5 linked regions of the Macaca mulatta genome follow. The protein of the gene in region 1 interacts with the protein of each later gene in a pairwise test. Links are inferred from orthologs where the notes say so. Each region holds a gene or a part of one and is shown on either strand. Other genes may lie near its edges. The genes, in order: EXOSC5, DMRTB1, TNFAIP1, BIRC2 and FCHO1.

Region 1 (3,515 bases):
TTTTTTTGAGACGGAGTCTCGCTGTTATTGTCCAGGCTGGAGTGGAATGGTGCCATCTCGGCTCACTGCAACCTCCGCCTCCCCGGTTCCAGCAATTCTGCCTCGGCCTCCCGAGTAGCTGAGATTACAGGCACCCACCACCATGCCCAGCCAATTTTTGTATTTTTAGTAGAGATGGGGTTTCACCATGTTGGCCAGGATGGTCTCAAACTCCTGACCGCAGGTGATCCACCCACCTCAGCCTCCCAAAGTGCTGGGATTACAGCAGACAGTACTAGAAGCCAGGCTATTTATTTCTTCGGTCTTACCTCCTGTACCCCATTTATAGCTTCTGGGGAAATAAGCAGGAATCAGGATTCATTCCAGATATTATTCCTTTCTCAGGTGTCCAGACTGGACTGGTGCAGAATTTGGGGACCAGTGCCTAAGGGAAGAGCTGGGCTGGGGAACCTTTGCAAAGAGAAGTTGAGAGCAGTGACAGTAAGAGGGAGGATGGTTAGCTTTCAGGAAGAACTTCCTGTTAAAAGTTACTAATAGTGGCCGGGCATGGTGGCTCATGTCTGTAATCCCAGCACTTTGGGAGGCCGAGGCGGGCAGATCATGAGGTCAGGAGTTCGAGACCAGCCTAACCAACATGGTGAAACCCAGTCTCTGCTAAAAATAAAAAAATTAACTGGGCATGGTGACTTGAACCTGTAATCCCAGCTACTCAGTAGGCTGAGGCAGGAGAACTGCTTGAACCCGGGAGGCAGAGGTTGCAGTGAGCCGAGATCACGCCACTGCACTCCAGCCTGAGCAACAGAGCGAGACTCCATCTCAAAAAAAAAGAAAGTTACTAATATCAGGGCTAGGCATGGTGGCTCACACCTGTAATCCTAGCACCTTGGGATTACAGTTGCCCAGGAGTTCGCAACCTGCCTGAGCAACATGGCAAAATCCCCTCTTCACTAAAAATACAAAAATTACCCAGGCATGGTGGCACGTGCCTGGAGTTCCAGCTACTTGAGAGGCTGAGGCAGGAGGATCGCTTGAGCCCAGAAGGTTGAGGCTGCAATGAGCTGTGATGGCACCACTGCACTCCAGCCTGGGCAATGAGAGTGAGACCCTGCCTGAATGCCTGAATGGATGAATGGATGAATGTTAATAATATCAGCTAAAGTCTGTTGCGCACTCAGCATGAGCCCCGCAGTGTTCTAAGTGTTCTCTTTGAATTGTGTCCTTTGATCCTCACAAGACGCTAGCGGGGAGCGACTGCTATTTTCCCCATATTACAAATGAGGATACGCAGGCAGAGAAATGAAGTGAGTACTCAAAGAATCACTGCCAACAAATGGCGGGGGTGACATGGGGAGCCCTGGCCATCATGCTCAGTGCCACGAATGGGGCCCCAGGAGCAGGGAAGCTGTGAGTGAGGCCCTCCCGCCCTGCTGTCTCCTCAGGTGACACCTCTGTCCTGGCGGGTGTGTACGGTCCGGCCGAGGTGAAGGTCAGCAAAGAGATCTTCAACAAGGCCACACTCGAAGTGATCCTGAGGCCGAAGATCGGGCTGCCTGGTAATTGGGCCCTGCTGAACCTCTGAATAGTGCCCAGTTTGTCATAACCGGCCCCCAGCTCTTCCCTACCAGCTGCCCCGAGTCTCCACTCCCCGCTTTGGTCCCCACTCAGCTGTTTCTGTCTTTAACTCTCTGCCCTGTATCTCATCTTCTGTTGCTTCTCTCTCTGCCTCTAATTTCTCCCTCCTTCTTTCTCCCTCTCTCTGCCTCCACTCATTCATTCCATTAACCTGTTTTTCTTTTCATTTATTTATTTATTTATTTATTTATTTTGAGATGGTGTCTCACTCTGTCACCCAGGCTGGAGTGCAGTGGCGCGATCTTGGCTAACCGCAACCTCTGCCTCCTGGGTTCAAGCAATTCCCCTGCCTCAACCTCTCGAGTTGAGGTGGGCACGCCACCATGCCCACTAATTTTTTGTATTTTTTTAATAGAGATGGGGTTTCACCATGTTGGCTAGGATGGTCTTGATCTTCTGACCTCGTGATCCGCCCACCTTGGCCTCCCAAAGTGCTGGGATTACAGGCATAAGCCACTGCGCTTAGCCATTTTTTAAAAATTTTAATTTCATATTTTTAAGACGGAGTCTCCCTCTGTTGCCCAGGCTGGAGTGCAGTGGCTTGATCTCGGCTCACTGCAACCTCCGCCTCCCAGGTTCAAGCAATTCTCCTGTCTCAGCCTCCCGAGTAGCTGGAATTACAGGCGTTAGCCGTCACGCCTGGCTAATTTTTGTATTTTTAGTAGAGACAACGTTTCACCATGTTGGTCAGGGTGGTGTCAAACTCCTGACCTCAAGTGATCCACCCGCCTCATCCTCCCAAAGTGTTGGGATTACAGACATGAGCCCCTGTGCCTGGCCCATTAACCTGTTTTTCCACCCTTTTACCCTCATATCCTTCAATCCCCACTGGCTGGGCCTACTAGGGTGGGAGTGGGCGTGGGTAGCAGCATAGACATGGAACTCCCAGGTCTTCTTCCCCTGGATGGTTCCTTTGGTGGATGCTGGAGGTAGCAGGGGTCGGTGGACAGCAGTCAGGCCTTGCCTTCTTCCTACTGGAATCTTCCATCATCCCAGGTACCTGCACCATCCCAGGCTGAGACTGTGGGCCCTTTCCAGGGGTTTGGGTGGGGCGTATGGAGGAAGGTGAGCCACATGAAGGGGAAGACCCTGACAACCGCTCTTCAATTTCCCCAGGTGTTGCAGAGAAGAGCCGGGAGCGGCTGATCAGGAACACGTGCGAGGCGGTGGTCCTGGGCACATTGCACCCCCGCACCTCCATCACTGTGGTGCTGCAGGTTGTCAGCGATGCTGGCTCTGTATCCTTTCTCCCAGGCCTCCTCCTCCAGGAAGTCTCCTGATTGCTTCCCTTCTGGTGGCTATATATATGCTGTCTGCTAGCCAGAAAAACTTCAAACACTTAACAGGTACCAGCTCACTGAAGAAGGAGAGCAAACACCCTGGGTGCTTACTTATGTGGCAGGCACTGTTCTGTGTGCCTTACACACATTAACTCATTTAATATAGCACATGCCCTTAATGATCCCCATGGAAGTGGCAAAGCCAAGACTTAGACCCAGACCGTCTAGTTCTAGAGCCCAAGGACCCTGGCAGATGAGTGTTCTTATGTTCGCATGTTTTAGGTGACAAAACTGAGGCCCAGAGAGGGGAAGGGGCTTGCCCAAGGTCACACAGCTGGAAGGCCGCACAGGCGGGACTCAAGCCCAGGCCCGTCTGACTCCAGAGCCTGTGCCAATCACTTTTGTGTTTTTGGTTTTTTCTTTGTTTGTTTGTTTTTGAGACAGGCTCACTCTGTCGCCCAGGCTGGAGTGCAGTGGTGCAGTGTCAGCTTACTGCAACCTCTGCCTCCCGGGCTCAAGCGATTCCCATGCTTTAGCCTCCTGAGTAGCTGGAGTTACAGGTGCCCGCCATCACAGCAGGCTAATTTTTGTATTTTTAGTAGA
Region 2 (4,268 bases), on another chromosome or scaffold:
GCTGGAGCGCAGTGGCCGGATCTCAGCTCACTGCAAGTTCCGCTTCCCGGGTTCACGCCATTCTCCTGCTTCAGCCTCCCGAGTAGCTGGGACTACAGGCGCCTGCCACCTCGCCCGGCTAGTTTTTTTGTATTTTTTTAGTAGAGACGGGGTTTCACCGTGTTAGCCAGGATGGTCCCAATCTCCTGACCTCGTGATCAGCCCGTCTCGGCCTCCCAAAGTGCTGGGATTACAGGCTTGAGCCACCGTGCCCGGCCTTAGCCACTTGTTAACTGTAACTCCTCCTTAAATGTGACTGATCTACTTAGAAGCTTTTCGGCTTGTTAGTGACCCATTTTTTCCTTTTTTAGGACAAAGAAGGGAGGAGAGGGGAGGCGAGGAAAATGGAGGCAGTGGGGAGGTAGGGGGAAAAGAGAGAGAGAGAGGCCTCAGGGTGTCACAAATTTGTTTTTAAAAGATGAATTAATGGCTGGGCACGGTGGCTCACACCTGTAATCCCAGCACTTTGGGAGGCCCAGGCAGGTGGATCACCTGAGGTTAGGAGTTCAAGACCAGCCTGGCCAACATGGCGAAAACCCCGTCTCTACTAAAAATACAAAAATTAGCCGGGCATGGTGGCGGGTGACTGTAATCCAAGCTACTCAGGAGGCTGAGGCAGGAGAATCGCTTGAACCTGGGAGGCAGAGGTTGCAGTGGGCCGAGATGACGCCACTGCCCTACAGCCTGGGTGACAGAGTGAGACTCTGTCTCAAAAAACAAAACAAAACAAAACAAAACAAAAAAACCTTAATGTCCTTGGGTAAACTATGACGTTTGTGTTAGCTTTTCAGATGTCCCAATATTTGCGTTGTTTTATAAGGATAACAAAATTCATGATGAGGTTAAGCAATTACTGAAGCTAGTGCTAGACAGTTTTTTAATTTAATTTTTTAGAAACAGGGGTCTTGCAGAATTTGTTTTATTTAATTTTTTAGAAACAGGAGTCTCGCTATGTTGCTCATGTTGGTCTCCAACTTCTGGGCTCAAGTGATCCTCACAAGCAGCTAGGGCTACAGGCACAGGACACTATGCCAGGCTTAGTGCCAGAATATTCTGCCTATTTTACTTTAAAATATTCTAAGTATGCTTACTTTGGAAGGTATGAACATCAGCAATGTGCCATCCTCCAGAAGAGGATTTCTACACAAAGACTCTCAAGAAACGGGAATTACTGCAAGGGCATACCCTTGAGCAACCATCACACTGCACTGAGCTCTTGAAAATATTCTGGAATATCCTGGAAGCATCTCTGCACGGCAGAGAAGTGAAATGCCACAGAAGCAGCAGCTTTAGGGAGGAGAAATACGGTTTGCCTCTTACAGTGCTTTTCTACACTGAAAGCTACATTCCTCCCGAGTTTTAAATCTGTGGACCGTTGAATATCACTCCGCCTTTCCTGAAGTTACAAATACCTTCCGTCGGTGGCGGGAATAGAGTTTGGAAAATTACATGCCTAAGACTTCAGATAAGCTAAATGACATACATGCAATAGAATCCCATTAAGAATTTATGCAACCCAGTCCATTGCATCTAATTACCCAAAGCACAGAAACTCTCCAAACTGTGCACCCCCCAAAAGGAGGGAAAATGCAAGGTTCTTGCTGCAGTTCCCGGGACACACTGCGAGGTGCTTTGTTACAAGTGTATCCAATGTCCCCAGAACCAGGGACTTGTGGGGCGCGGCTCATCCCAGCGCCACTTGCTCTGCAGCTCCCAGAGGTGGTGGTTGTGCTACGAAGGCTGACCCTGCCAATGGCCGACAAGATGGTGCGCACCCCTAAGTGCTCGAGATGCAGGAACCATGGCTTCCTGGTGCCCGTCAAGGGCCACGCAGGCAAATGCCGCTGGAAGCAGTGCCTCTGTGAGAAGTGCTACCTGATCTCCGAGCGCCAGAAGATCATGGCCGCGCAGAAGGTGCTCAAGACGCAGGCCGCCGAGGAGGAGCAGGAGGCGGCCCTGTGTGCGCAGGGTCCAGAGCAGGCCTCCGGGGCCGCGGCCGCCGCGCCCGTTTCCCTCCCGGGCGGGAGCCTGCGCCCTCTGCCTCCGGGGACTCCCTCCGGAGACGCCGAGCCGGGACCCGAGGGCCGCGCGGCCGCCTGCTTCTTCGAGCGGCCCCCGCGGGGCCGGAGTCCCGGCCCGAGCGCCTTCCAACCGGTTCTGGGCGGCCGCGGCCACGTGGAGCCGAGCGAGCGAGCCGCCGTGGCGATGCCCAGCCTTGCGGGACCCCCTTTTGGGGCGGAGGCCACAGGCAGTGGCTACCCCGGCCCCCTGGACCTGCGCAGGCCGCTGCGGCCCGTGCCTGGCCCGCCGTTCACCGACTTTGGTAAGTCGTGGCCTCAGTCCCGCGGTGGACTCCCCGAGCTGGCAGTACAGGCCAGCCCGGATGGGCAGCTGGCATAGGGGTTTTGGGGTGGGGAGAATGCTTTCCACGGGTAACGTACCTTCTGCTTTAAGAAACCCTTCTTGGAACGGGGATTTGGATTGGGTACCTTTTCGCAAAAAGGAAACATAAGGGAATGGGCGGTTCAGAGGGGCTTTTTTTTTTTTTTTTTTTTGAGACGGAGTCTCGCTGTGTCGCCCAGGCTGGAGTGCAGTGGCGCGATCTCGGCTCACTGCAAGCTCCGCCTCCCGGGTTCACGCCATTCTCCTGCCTCAGCCTCCTAATAGGTGGGACTACAGGCGCCCGCCACCACGCCCGGCTAGTTTTTTGTATTTTTAGTAGAGACGGGGTTTCACCATGTTAGCCAGGATGGTCTCGATCTCCTGACCTCGTGATCCACCCGCCTCGGCCTCCCAAACTGCTGGGATTACAGGCTTGAGCCACCGCGCTTGGCTCAAAGGGCTTTTAACATTTAGCTGTAGTTTGTGCCATTCTGGCATGCAAGAACAAAATGGCGTCCAGTCGACTTAGCAGTGCTTCCTCCTCCGGGAAGAGGCCTCGAGGAGCCCAGTCCTACTGCGCTTGCGCACCTCTTCCCGCCATTTCCTTGGGCTGGAGGCTCCTCCTCCAGAATAAGAGAATTTTCCTGCCGGCAGGTTAGCGCAAGGACGACTGCGCCTGCGCCCTCTTCCTTCCCTGTTCGCGGTCGGGAGGCTCCTCCCCTCAGCACGGCCCTGGACCAGTGCGCCTGTGCACCTCTTCCCTCCCTTTCCCCGCGTGCGGGTGAGCCGAGCCTGCTGCTTTACTACACGTAAGAGAACAGTTGGTCTGTAAAGATGTTGCCTTTCTTTTTGCCCCTCACCTGGTACATAAATTACATTGTTCCCTGTGCCTTGGAGCTTTCGGTATTGAAGTACAGTTTCAAGTCACATGTACATTTGAAGCTTTAAAAGCCCCGGGGTTTGGTGTGGACGTGTTTTCCTGGTGTCTCCCCATGGTGGTGTCGTGGGACGGGCTGAGGCCGAGGCGGGAGCCTGGGTCACGCTGGACAAGCTCCTGCCCTCTGTGTGCCAGGGCATTGGTCCAGAGGCTTCCGCAGGCTCGTCCCGCCTTCCTGACTTTCCAGGAAAATCTAGGTCCCCAGGGAACGCCCCATCTGATGGGGTCACAGGTCTGAAACCGCAATTCTAGGAGAAGCCGCCTTTCTTTGTTCCATCTCAACAGACAAGCAGGGCTGGGCTGAACTATGAGCCAGGCATTCGTGATGAAGGACGCGGGTCACATTTCTTACCCTCAGGGACCTTGTCCTTGTGGGAGGGACAGGGTTGATTGAAGAGTCACACAAATCGCTGTCCAGAGCTCGAGCCATGGCCGGGTTCACTGTTGACCCGGAGGAAGAGGAACTTGGCACGGAGGACTCGTAGAGGCAGAGTGTGGGCGGACGGCGTGTGGGCAGCGGGGAGCCTCAGGCCGGGGGCCCACAGCGGGCTTGATGGCCGTGCCGAGGACTCTCCAAGAGCAGCGGGGCTGGCTGGAGGACGGAGATGCAGTGAGGGCCCAGCGGAAGGAAGGGCGGGGTGGGCTTTCTGTGCTTGGACAGCAGCGCTTACGACTCCGCCGGCCTGTGCCACGCTGCGGATGCTTTTCCCAGCGGTGTCTAACACTTCCCTCCTTGCTTGCCTTCTTCAGGGCGCCCTGTGAGCATCAACCCGGACCGTGCACTGGGCCCTGAGTACCCTGGCGGCTCCAGCATGCACCCCTACTGCCCGTTCCCGCTGGGCTACCTGGACGCCCCTCCTGGCGTCCCCCTGCAGCAGGGCTTCCGGCATGTGTCCCGCAGCCAGTACCA
Region 3 (4,191 bases), on another chromosome or scaffold:
AAGTGAAAGGGAAGCAAGGCATTGCAGGCAGAAGGAAACACATACGTGAAGATCCTGAGGCAACAGGAAATTTGATGCATTCCGAGAACTGAGACTGAGCAAGAGAAGGGAACAGAATGAGGCTAGACAGGGAGGCAACAGCTGGATCACGGAAGGCTCTGAAAGACACAGTAATGAGCTTGGATTTTATCAGAAGGGTAATGGGCAGCCAGAGAGTTCTCAGCAAACCAACAAAATCAGACTTAGATCATTCTTGCTTAGCCTGGAGAACGGATTGGAGGGAACAAGAAAGGGCAAGGCCCCAACTACCTTCTTGTTCACCACTCTAACCCTAGCACCTAGCATGGTGCCCACACATAACTGGCACTCAGTAAATGCGGAATGAATGACCGTGGAAACAGGAGACCATTACAGTAACCAAGGCTGGCAGCTGAAGACAAGTGCTCCGAGTTGAGATGTTTTGTAAGTCGAGGTGATTGGGGCTTAGTAATGGACTGACTGAATGTGGCGGTTTTGGGATAAGAGAAAAACAAGTCAGGCATGACTCCCATGAATCTGGCTTGGCCCACCTATCTGATTGGAGGGGCTGGCTTAAAGAGATAGGTAAGATGGAAGAAGGGGTGCAGGGAAAGAGTTCACAGATTCTCTACCAACTCCCATCACACGCGTGTCTGAGCATCTGAGCAACACCTGGCCCAAGAGCTGGGACTAAGCTCCCTGAGCATGACGCGGTGGCATAATTTGTGTGGCCAGGCTCTCCCAGATGCATGCGAGGCACTGCGAGCAGACTCTTTACTATGTAAATTCCCCGAATTTATCCGAGCCCCAGTTTCCTCGTAAGATCGTGGCAAGCATCAACGCGTCAAACTCCAGGCCTAACCTGGGTGTGAAAGCGCCCCCTGAGAGTGGGGCGGAATTCCCACGTCTCTCTCCGCCCGGGCTCTTTCCTCAGGACGCGGGCCTGTCAGGCTCCTCTCGCCCCTGGTCCGCCCGCATCCCCCGACCCGAGGTCAGCCTACCTGCCGGCCCCGCGGCGGCAGCGCGCTGCAGCCTAGGCTGATGTAGACAGGCAGCTTCTCCCGGGTCAGCGGCAGCCGGTACCCAGTCAGCCTGCCACGGCCGCTGCCACGGCTACAGAACCTGTTTACCCATGACGTCACTACCTTCCTGACCCCGGAAGCACTTACAGCCCCGAATCCACAGAGGTTGCTGGGAAACAGAGGCCCGAGGGGAGGTCGGGCCTACAAGACCCAGAAGCCTTAGCGCCGGCAAGGCGACCGGAAGTGGCTTTCCTCTCTCCGCGAAGACCCTCGGGGGATTCCGCCTCCACCCTTTCCCGGATAGAGCGCTATGCATGCAGGGACTTGTAGTCTCAGGCTCCCCGACCGGTGGGGCTGGGCCGCACTCCGGGCGGAGTCGGCGAGCGCAGGATGTGAGCTCACAGCCCGGGACTGCTGGTGGGCAGGCGGCTGCAGGCTAGGGGCGGCTCGGAGTCCGCTGGCCACCCAGCTGAGAGGAGAGGCGCCCCCGGGGACGGTGAGAGCCGGGCCCGCAGATGCCCTCGGGGAAGGGATGGACGGCCCCTGCTGGAGTATAGCGAGCCCGGCCGGGTCCTGGGGAAAAGGCGCGGGCGGCGTTGGGGAAAAGGAGAGCTCTGATCTCCCACGGAGGGTGGGCGTGAGAATCGGTGTGGGTTTCTCGGTAGTGAGGAGTGGCCCGGGCTAGAGAAGAGCCCACACCGGCCACATTTCCCAGGATTTTTTGGGTGACGCTTAACCTTTACACCTAGGGTTTCTGCTAGATCCGCCCACTCTAGCCCTCAGCTTTCCCCGCGCCGTCCTCCGTGTCTGACGGATTTCTGGGTCCTTCTTCCTTTTAGACCTCTCCTCTTTCTACAGCCGCGGCTGTTTGCCCTTTGTTCTGCTTGGGTTCCCATTAGCTTCGTTGCGTGAGCCATGGATCCGCCCCTAGCCCCAGGCATCCCCAAATATCCACACACAAAGTGCGGAAGGAAGAGCACTGTGGCTATCAGTGGAAACTTCATTCTCACTGGAATTACTTTCTGGGGCGTCACCTGCCACAGGATTCCTGGAACCCATTGGTCTGGGCGGAATCTGATTGACGTCATCCAGGGGCTCAAAGCAATTGCTTTGTAGGAAAGGAATAGATTAACTCTGGATCCGCCGACCTCTCTTGGCAGGCCTATCCTTTGAGCTCCTTTGCATTGACAGAACATGTATGTATGCTTTCTTTGATCCTGGGAAAACTAGGGCTAGACACAAAATACATAGGGAACTTGCTAATGCCTGTTAGGGAGGTGGATTTATTCCTTTGAGGTGGGCGGAAGAAGGGAAGGTGATCTCATACCATTCTAGTGTTTCTTAGTCATTGGCAGCCTCCTGGTGAGGGTTCACCTCCCATACCCAACCTCTGTGGCAAAGGAAAGAGTCTCCCAGACAAGCCGCCAAAGGAATTCACTGCTTCACACAGCACCCACGCTGGCCGTCCACTTCCTTGGACATTCTTCCCAGGGACTTACCTAAATCTTTTCAGGGACAATTTCAATCCAACAAACTGACATATGTTAAATACTTAAAATGTGCATGGCATTGTGCTAAGCACCATTAGGGGAACACAGCAGTAAACTTAGGAAACCAGTGCCCTGCTTCTGGGTTGCACTTACAAGAGAGGAGCAACTGTAAACTCCTGCATGTAATGAGCATTCGGTGAAATCATTCCACTTTTTTTCTGTCTCCGTTATTACTAACGTGGTCCAGGCCCGCCGTCATCTCTTCTTGCCTAGACTACAGTTTCCTCTGGTCTTCCCACTTCCTCTCTTGCACCTTTACAATTCATTCTCTACCCAGCAGCCGTTATCTTTTCAAAATACACTACAAGCAAGTCAGATCATATCACTCCTCTGCTTGCAACTCTCCAATTGATTCATATATTATATAGCAATAGGCCGGGCGCGGTAGCTCACGCCTATAATCCCAGCACTTTGGGAGGCCAAGGCGGGCGGATCATCCGAGGTCGGGAGTTCAAGACCAGTCTGACTAACATGGAGAAACCCCATGTCTACTAAAAATACAAAATTAGCTGGGCATGGTGGTGCATGCGTGTAATCCCAGCTACTCAGGGAGGCTGAGGCAGGAGAATAGCTTGAACCTGGGAGGCGGAGGTTGCAGTGAGCCGAGATCGTGGCACTGCACTCCAGCCTGGGCAACAAGAGTGAAACTCTGTTTCAAAAAAAAAAAAAAAAAATATATATATATATATATATATATATGTAATAGCAATTAGTATGAAATCCACACTTTGTTATCATCTAACACCTGCCTTCCCTGACTTGACATCAAACCAACTTCCCCCTACTGTCTGTGCACCAGCCATTATGACCTTATTTCTGATCCTAAAACTTGTTTTTATTTTGTTGTTGTTGAGACGAGATTTCCCTGTCACCCAGGCTGACCTGCCCAGACTCAAGCAATCATCCCACCTCAGCCTCCCAAGCAGCTGGGACCACAGGCATGAGCCACCATATCTGGCTAATTTTTTTTCATTTGTAGAGACAAACTCTCACTGTTGCCCAGACTGGTCTTGAACTCCTGAGCTCAAGCAATCCACCCACTTCAGCCTCCTAAAGTGCTGGGATTACGGGTGTGAGCCACCACACTCGGCCCCTAAAACTTGTTTCTAACAGGAACTTTGCACTTACTCTTCCATCTGTGTAGAATGCTCTCTTCAAACCTCAGCTGAAATTCACCTTCCCAAAGATGCTTACCCTGTCCCTCTGTCTAAATTAGTGCCTCTCCCTAATCACTCTCATGTCAGTTTTATTATCTTTATTGCATTTATCAGGTTCTGGAATTATCTGTTTATTTATTCAAGTCCTTGTTTATAGTCTATTTCCTTCCACTAGAATGTAAGCTCCATGTGGACATGACTTTCTATATTTGTTCTCTTCTGAGTACCCAGTGCCTGGCACACAGGGGTACAATAAATGCTAGCTCTCTCTCTTTTTAAAAATTCCTGTTATGATGCTCCTTTGAACTGTTTGAAGGCAAAGACAATGTTTTTTCATTGTTCCCTATTGCTTAACATAGTAGGCACTCAGTAGTTTAATTGCTGAATTAGTTAAATGAGCTAATATATATTAAATGCCAAGAGATGGGGTCTTGCTATGTTGCC
Region 4 (3,957 bases), on another chromosome or scaffold:
GTTCGCTATTTGGAAGTTTTTAAAATATTTGCCCCTTGGAGTTCCCCAGAGAGAAGCAAGCATTGGATTCAATGGGCAAAGAGCGTCAACTTCAAAAGTCATTCGTTGGCTGTCATAGCACAAACATTTACTGCATGCCACTGTGTCTATGGCACTACTGGGGGAGTATGGCGGAGGGATACAAAAGGTCCATCACTAGTAAAAGCCAAGGGTGTTTGTTTACAAATTTTCTATTACCTAAGCATTAAAAAAAAAAACAACCTTGGGCTTCTCTGTGGTTTATGTACAATTATATGTGCATGTACACCAATACACAGGCGGACGTATATATTTCATTTTATTGAAACATTCAGAAAATACTGGGAGTGAAGCCTGACTTGCAATACCGTTCCCGTTGCTGGCAATGAGCATCTGAAATAATGACACTTTTGTCTTTAGTGCATATGCACTGTTTGTCTCCAGAACAGAAAACCAAAAGTTTAAAAACAAGATAACCTAGTTGATTGTAAAACTCATCGAGTCAAAATTATTCATCAGATGCTTCCTACTTTCCAACGCTTCGCTTTTTTCGATTTGCACAAACAGCTGTTGAACGCTGATGCTACACAAACGGTTACAACTGTTTACTTGAGCAAAAAATGCCATCAGACTGACTCCATCCTCAAAATGCAGTCATCTCGACGGGGGAGGCATCACACTAGGGGAGCCTTGCCAGGGGCCAGATCATAACCCTGAGGTGACACAGGGTAGACGCGCAAAACCACCGGCGCCAGGGCGTTTCCGCAGGGTTTCCCAAGAGTCAAACGCAGCGGCTCACGGTTTGCCACGTCCCCCAGGAGAATGGTAGGCACAGAGAGAGAGGAAACGTGGAGGGGGCACAAACTGCAAGGTGAAGAAAACGAACAAACACCGAGTTGATACGGATAGTCCCCGTTCCCCTAAGGGCCGACCCCGCGACTCCCGATGGGCGTCCAGTTGCGCCGGGGGTCCCTGAGCCTCCCAGCGTCTTTCCCGGCGGTTAGTCGCCCCACGGCCGCAAGTGCGCTCGGTTTCGCTTTCCGGCCCCAGCCTCCCGGGCGCCCTCGCGCGGCTGCCAACGCGAGTCTCCGGCCGGGCGCGCTGACGTCATCGTGCGTCGGCGTGAGCCCGGATGGGGCGGCGGGCTTCGGGAGCGCCGGAGCTGACCCGAGCCGAGGCGGCCGTGTCTCCTTGTCGGTACCGCCGCTTCCCGGCTCTGGGGAGGCCTCTAGGCTGCCGCGCAGCTTCCTTGTTTGCTGCGCCCGCACTGCGGTGAGTGCTGCTCCTTCCGGACTCGGGCGGCGCGGGGAGGGTGGGGACGCGCGGGCCCGCGGGGGCCCACTTCCCTGATGTGGCGGCCGGGCGAGGAAGGAAGGGGCCAGAGGCCCTTCGGCCAAGGGTCGAGGGTCGCCGGGGGCTCTCTGCTTTCTACTCTCGCCAAGGTTTTATTGGATTCGGAAGCCCAAACTTCAAGACTTGCAGTCAAAGCCGTTTTTAAAATATGACTTGTTTTCAAACCTCCTCTGGCCGCCGCCCACTCTTCTGGCCCTTGGACTTTGACCAAGATGTTTTCTCGCAGTTTTTGCAAGGTTTTAAACAGCCCTCGGCGTTCTTTTAATGTAATACATTGAAACGAAGATATTTCGGTGGCGGTGATATTTCATATTTCATAGTTGCCACTGCGCTCTGTCATTCCAGTAGTCTGTTGTGTATTGTGAGAAACAACTCTGGGTAATTATTGGGTAAATCCCATAGTTTCTATTCTTTTCTCTTCCATCCTATCCCCTGTCCAGCTGCAGTTTGCATAAAGAGAATGCTGCAGTACGGTGCTCGCAGATAAAAGTCTTTCGTTTAAAGATAGTATATAAAAAATCGCGTGTAATTAAAGCAATCATGCCAGTGGGCGTCAGGCCACTGTTTCACAGGCCGCTGTGTTAGGTTTTGTTTTCGGTTGTTTTCTACCGTCGTTGCTTTGAAATTGTAAGGGATTGGCAGAGTTTAAGGGTTTATATTAATGAACTCGTGGTACATTTTACTGCAGTTTTCCTAGTCGCGGAGAGACTTGATATTACAAACTAACGTTGCTGTCTGATTACTGCTGTACTGCTGTTGACAGGGTTTAGTGGAGTACCTTGTCGCTCTCTCTGCCTTTTTCACCAATGTTCCTTTGCCTCCAGCAGAGTGCCAAAGATACCTTTAGGTCAGAAAAGGGGAGGAGAGCAAGGACAAAATGTTTTCCTGTGTGAAAATTTCCATCTGTCTCTAAAGTTGTGCTTTTTAAAGACACGTATAGTTAGTGCTATGGGAGTATGTTGCATTTATTTATTTTAATTAAGAGCTTTTTCAGTTAGAAAGTTGTGACAAATTGCTGGAAATTAAGATGTGTTATCTAAAATGTAAATTATTCTTAGACTTTAGTGAATAAATTGAAGAGTATGTAAGTTCTATTTGGCATGCAAATACGGTTTTCTAAAATACCTTTTGTTTTTTCTTTTCAGATTTACAGCCCTGAAGAATCCTCCTCTCCCTTTCCCCTTGCAGTAATAAATCCCATTTTGGAGATCTCGAAGCTTTATAAAGGGATATAGTTTGAATTCTATGGAGTGTAATTTTGTGTATGAATTATATTTTTAAAACATTGAAGAGTTTTCAGAAAGAAGGCTAGTAGAGTTGATTACTGATACGTTATGCTAAGCAGTACTTTTTTGGTAATACAGTATTTTGTTAGGCGTTTCTGATAACACTAGAAAGGACAAGTTGTGTCTTGTGACAAATTGATTAATGTTTACAGCATGACTGATAATTATAGCTGAATAGTCCTTAAATGATGAACAGGTTATTTAGTTTTTAAATGCAGTGTGAAAAGTGTGCTGTGGAAATTTTATGGCTAACTAATTAAGTTTATGGAGAAAATACCTTCAGTTGATCAAGAATAATAAAGTGGTATACAAAGTTAGGAAGAAAGTCAACATGCTGCAGGAAATAGAAACAAATACAAATGATATTTAACAAAGATAGAAGAGTTTATAGTTTGTGAACTTTAAGCCAAATTCATTTGACATCAAACACTATAACAGGCACAGGTTCAACAAAGCTTGTGGGTGTTGACTTCCCCAAAAGTTGTCAGCTGAAGTAATATAGCCCGCTTATGTAAATACTATGGTGATAAGCTGTGTGAACTTAGCCTTTAAATAGTGTGACCATATGAAGATTTTAATTACTTTTGTTTATTGGAATAAAATGAGATTTTTTGGGGACATTATATTAAAGTGCTTATAGGGAAAGAAGCCTGCATGTAATTTTTTACCTTGTGGCATAATCAGTAATTGATCTGTTACCCAGGCTTCATAGCTTGTAACCAAATATAAATAAAAGGAGTAATTTAGGTATTCTGTAGTTGCTTAGAATTTTGAGAATATAAATCTCTGTGAAAAATCAAGGAGTTTCAACATTTTCAAAAGGGCATCCACCTCTCAGGGCTTTAGGTTAGTATTACTCAAGATTATGAACAAATAGCACTTAGATTACTTAAAAGAGTTACTACAACCCCAAAGACTTGTGTTCCAAGTAGTATCTTGGTAATTCAGAGAGAGACTCATCCTACCTGAATATAAACTGAGATAAATCCAGTAAAGAAAGTGTAGTGAATTCTACGTAAGAGTCTATCATTGATTTCTTTTTGTGGTAAAAATCTTATTTTGTGTGAAGAAATTTCATGTGACTGTTTTAGCTATCAAACAGTACTGTCACCTACTCATGCACAAAACTGCCTCCCAAAGACTTTTCCCAGGTCCCTCGTATCAAAACATTAAGAGTATAATGGAAGATAGCACGATCTTGTCAGATTGGACAAACAGCAACAAACAAAAAATGAAGTATGACTTTTCCTGTGAACTCTACAGAATGTCTACATATTCAACTTTCCCCACCGGCGTTCCT
Region 5 (3,515 bases), about 34 Mb from region 1:
AGAGCAAGACTCTGTCTCAGAGAAAAAAAAAAAAAAAAAAGAACAAACCAAAATAAAATTTTAAAAAACTGACATGCTCAGGGAACTGAAAAGTTTTATTTTTGAGTTGTGGAGGTTTCAGTTATAGCTGAATCCAGGTGCTCAAATAGTGCTGGCAGGAAATTGTGCATTTCTGCTTTTTTTTTTTTTTTTTTTTTGAGATGGAGTCTCTCTGTCGCCCAGGCTAGAGTGCAGTGCCACAGTCTCGGCTCGCTGCAACCTCTGCCTCCTGGGCTCAAGTGATTCTCCTGCCTCTGCTTCCCTAGTAGTAGTTGGGATTACAGGCACGTGCCACCACACCCAGCTAATTTTTGTATTTTAGTAGAGACAGGGTTTCACCATGTTGCCCAGACTAGTCTTGAACTCCTGACCTCAGATGATCCGCCTACCTTGGTCTCCCAAAGTGCTGGGATTACAGGCGTAAAACACCACACCCGACCACCATTTCTGCTTCTTAAGTCTATTTTCCTCTCTGGGGACATCACTCCCAGGCAGACGTGCCCGTGTGTGTGTGTGTGTGTATGCATGCACATGTGTGCATCAAAGTGGGCCCCAACAACTCCCACTTACATCCTATCCACTCATTAGTTCAGAAATGGAAGTGTCTTTTTCTGTTGATTCAGAGAAAGTCCTAGGGCAGACTATCATTGGCCCTTCCCCAAATCAATCAGTGAGCCAAGGGCTTAGGGTGTTCTGATTGGTCAGGCTGAGTCACATGGCCACTCCTTCTTGGCCCTGACATTCTTTCCACCTGCCTCTCCCGTCCTGCTTCAGCGCTTCCAAGCCATGGAGGAGACACACCTGAGGCACATGAAGGCGTTGCTGGGCTCCTATGCTCACTCCGTGGAGGACACGCACGTGCAGATCGGGCAGGTGAGTTGGGCAGGTGTGAGGAATGAGGCTGGGGTCACTGTTGGGCAAAGGGGCCTTGACCAGTTTCACACCCCGCCCACCTGGCACAGGTGCATGAGGAATTTAAGCAGAACATCGAGAACGTCAGCGTGGAGATGCTACTCAGGAAGTTTGCAGAGAGTAAGGGCACAGGCCAGGAGAAGCCAGGTGAGTCAGGGCAGCCATCAGGGGTCGGGCTTTAGTGCCACAGCTGCAGGTGATGGGCAGGACTCCAGAGGCAGGAGACTGAACCTCCCTGGGGCTTGGTTTCTTTCTTTCTCTCTCTTTTTTTTTTGAGATGGAGTCTCCCTCTGCCTCTGTCGCCCAGGCTGCAGTGCAGTGGTGCGATCTTGGCTCACTGCAACTGCTGCTTCCGGGTTCAAGCTATTCTCCTGCCTCAGCCTCCCGGAGAAGCTGGGACTACAGGCACGTGCCACCACACCCAGCTAATTTTTTTGTGTGTATTTTTAATAGAGATGAGGGTTCACCATGTTGGCCAGGCTGGTCTTGAACTCTTGACCTCAGGTGATCCCCCCGCCTCGGCCTCCCAAAGTGCTGGAATTACAGGCGTGAGCCACTGCTCATGGCCAGGCCTTGGTTTCTTCGTGGGAAAAATGGGATGCTGACGAGTCCAGCTCTCCAGCTTGATCTTACGGGTAAATCTCTTTGAACCAGATCCCACAGGAGCCTTGAGTGCCAGGCTCAGCTGTTCATACTTCACCCCCAGGGCCTAAGGGAGCCGTTGAGGGTTGTTGAGCAAAAGAACAATTTGCAAATGCTCAGATACAGGACTAGGGAGGAGTTAAGAGCAAAAGTTTTAGAGTCAGACCTGGGCTTGAGTCTTTTCTTCATCACTTGCTGTGTGACTTAGGACCTGTGCTTTGACTTCTCTGAGCCTCAGTTTCCTCATCTGTAAAGTGAGGATGTTAATAATGTTGTAACGTTCAGTGATTTAATTCAGGTAAAGGGCAAAGGGTGTGCCAGGCACACAGTAGGCACTCACTAAATGCTGGTATACAGTTATGTCTTCAAGTCTTGTTAACCAGCAAAACCTGTTCTTTCTCCCTCTTGTCTCTCTGGCTCGGCCCTGGCTCAGGTCACCCCTCCCTGCATGGGGCCCCACTCTTGCCTTTCACAGGCCCCAGATCTGTTGTGTCCTCCTCCTGCTCACACACCTTCCATGGCTCCCCATTGTTCTTGGGAGAGAGTTCCCACGCCTCATCCTGTCACTCAAAGCCCAGCCCACTGCACACATGCATGGTTCATCCCCCAACCCAACCCAAGTTCCAGCCACAAATGCTGGAAGTACGTGGAAGTAGCTCATGTCACCCCCTACAGTGGCACTAACCAGCTGGAACCAGACCAGCCCCTTGATCCATCCCACTCCTGATGATCTGGGGCTGGTTCTTGTCTGGGAACCTGATGGACCTTGAGTTCAGATCCAGGTGCCATTTTGTGGCCAAAAGTGTTCTACTCTTTCGAAGCCCAGTCTCCCCACCCTCAGTTTAGTTTCTCTCTCTCTCTCTCTCTTTTTTTTTTTTTTTTTTTTAATTTTTTTGAGGCAGAGTTTGCTCTGTCACCCAGGCTGGAGTGCAGTGGTGCAATCTCGGCTCACTGCAACCTCCGCCTCCTAGGTTCAAGCGATTCTCCCACCTCAGCCTCCCGAATAGCTGGGATTACAGGCACCTGCCACCAGGTCCGGCTAATTTTTTTGTAATTTTAGCAGAGACAGGGTTTCACCATGTTGGCCAGGCTCGTCTCGAACTCTTGACCTCAGGTGATCCACCCGCCTCAGCCTCCCAAAGTGCTGAGAATACAGGCCCGGGCCACTGTGCCCAGCCCCGCAATTGAGTTTCTGTCTCCCGTCTCAGGACCTCTGGACTTCGAGGCATACAGCGCGGCTGCCCTGCAGGAAGGCAAGTACGTCTGGGCCTGGATGCCCAGGCTGGACCGTGGGGGTGAGGAAGGCTGATATGAACGTGAAAGAAGGCACCTCCCAGTGCTCAGTTGCCCCCCAATCTATCCTCAGCGATGAAACGTTTGCGGGGAGCCAAGACCTTTCGCCTTCCGGGATTAAGCCGGCGGGAGCGGGAGCCAGAGCCACCTGCAGCTGTGTGAGAAAGCGCCCCTGCCCGGTCTGGCCCAGGCTAGCCCGGGATCCCTTCCCCTGCCCAGGCTATCCCGGAAGTCCCCTCCTAGGATAGCCCAGGAGTATCCATATTCCAGGCTGGACCAGGATTCCCTCCACCCAAGCTAGACCAGGAGTGCCTCTGCCCCAGGCTAGCTCAATATTACCGCTGCCCAAGCTAGTCCAGAATTCTTCCTTTTGCCAGGTTAGGCCAAGAACTGCCTGTCGCAGAGTAAGCTAGCATTTCCCCTGTCCGAGCTGGCCCAGGATTGTTCTGTTTGCCAAGGCTAGCCCCGACTTTCCCTACCTTCACAAGGCAGCCCTTCAAATGAGTTCCAGGATTCCTCCCCTCCCAGGCTGTTTGAGAACACTCTCTACTCAGCTAACTTCAGATTCAACCCCCTCCCCAAGCAAGCCTCAGGGTCCCACTGCCTCCAGGGCTAGCTCAGGGCAATAT

The links.
Region 2: the proteins of EXOSC5 (region 1) and DMRTB1 interact in a two-hybrid assay, tested with the Homo sapiens proteins (2 studies listed by BioGRID). The link is inferred for Macaca mulatta from reciprocal best matches to the Homo sapiens genes EXOSC5 and DMRTB1.
Region 3: the proteins of EXOSC5 (region 1) and TNFAIP1 interact in binary tests that used the Homo sapiens proteins (3 or more experiments, as listed by UniProt). The two-hybrid records come from large-scale screens. The link is inferred for Macaca mulatta from reciprocal best matches to the Homo sapiens genes EXOSC5 and TNFAIP1.
Region 4: the proteins of EXOSC5 (region 1) and BIRC2 interact in binary tests that used the Homo sapiens proteins (3 or more experiments, as listed by UniProt). The two-hybrid records come from large-scale screens. The link is inferred for Macaca mulatta from reciprocal best matches to the Homo sapiens genes EXOSC5 and BIRC2.
Region 5: the proteins of EXOSC5 (region 1) and FCHO1 interact in binary tests that used the Homo sapiens proteins (3 or more experiments, as listed by UniProt). The two-hybrid records come from large-scale screens. The link is inferred for Macaca mulatta from reciprocal best matches to the Homo sapiens genes EXOSC5 and FCHO1.

What each region holds. Positions count from the first base shown.
Region 1 is NC_133424.1:52,537,450-52,540,964, reverse strand, and holds part of EXOSC5 (exosome complex component RRP46), read left to right. Parts: intron 1-1,439; coding exon 1,440-1,553; intron 1,554-2,748; coding exon 2,749-2,870; intron 2,871-3,515. UniProt on the Homo sapiens protein: Non-catalytic component of the RNA exosome complex which has 3'->5' exoribonuclease activity and participates in a multitude of cellular RNA processing and degradation events.
Region 2 is NC_133406.1:187,154,535-187,158,802, reverse strand, and holds the start of DMRTB1 (doublesex- and mab-3-related transcription factor B1), read left to right. Parts: upstream 1-1,453; 5' UTR 1,454-1,548; coding exon 1,549-2,362; intron 2,363-4,108; coding exon 4,109-4,268.
Region 3 is NC_133421.1:37,030,487-37,034,677, forward strand, and holds the start of TNFAIP1 (BTB/POZ domain-containing adapter for CUL3-mediated RhoA degradation protein 2), read left to right. Parts: upstream 1-1,391; 5' UTR 1,392-1,536; intron 1,537-4,191. UniProt on the Homo sapiens protein: Substrate-specific adapter of a BCR (BTB-CUL3-RBX1) E3 ubiquitin-protein ligase complex involved in regulation of cytoskeleton structure.
Region 4 is NC_133419.1:103,217,482-103,221,438, forward strand, and holds the start of BIRC2 (baculoviral IAP repeat-containing protein 2), read left to right. Parts: upstream 1-1,144; 5' UTR 1,145-1,290; intron 1,291-1,307; exon of another isoform or gene 1,308-1,749; intron 1,750-2,516; 5' UTR 2,517-3,774; coding exon 3,775-3,957. UniProt on the Homo sapiens protein: Multi-functional protein which regulates not only caspases and apoptosis, but also modulates inflammatory signaling and immunity, mitogenic kinase signaling, and cell proliferation, as well as cell invasion and metastasis.
Region 5 is NC_133424.1:18,278,247-18,281,761, forward strand, and holds part of FCHO1 (F-BAR domain only protein 1), read left to right. Parts: intron 1-813; coding exon 814-912; intron 913-1,001; coding exon 1,002-1,098; intron 1,099-2,801; coding exon 2,802-2,846; coding exon of another isoform or gene 2,847-2,850; intron 2,851-2,959; coding exon 2,960-3,044; intron 3,045-3,515. UniProt on the Homo sapiens protein: Functions in an early step of clathrin-mediated endocytosis. Has both a membrane binding/bending activity and the ability to recruit proteins essential to the formation of functional clathrin-coated pits.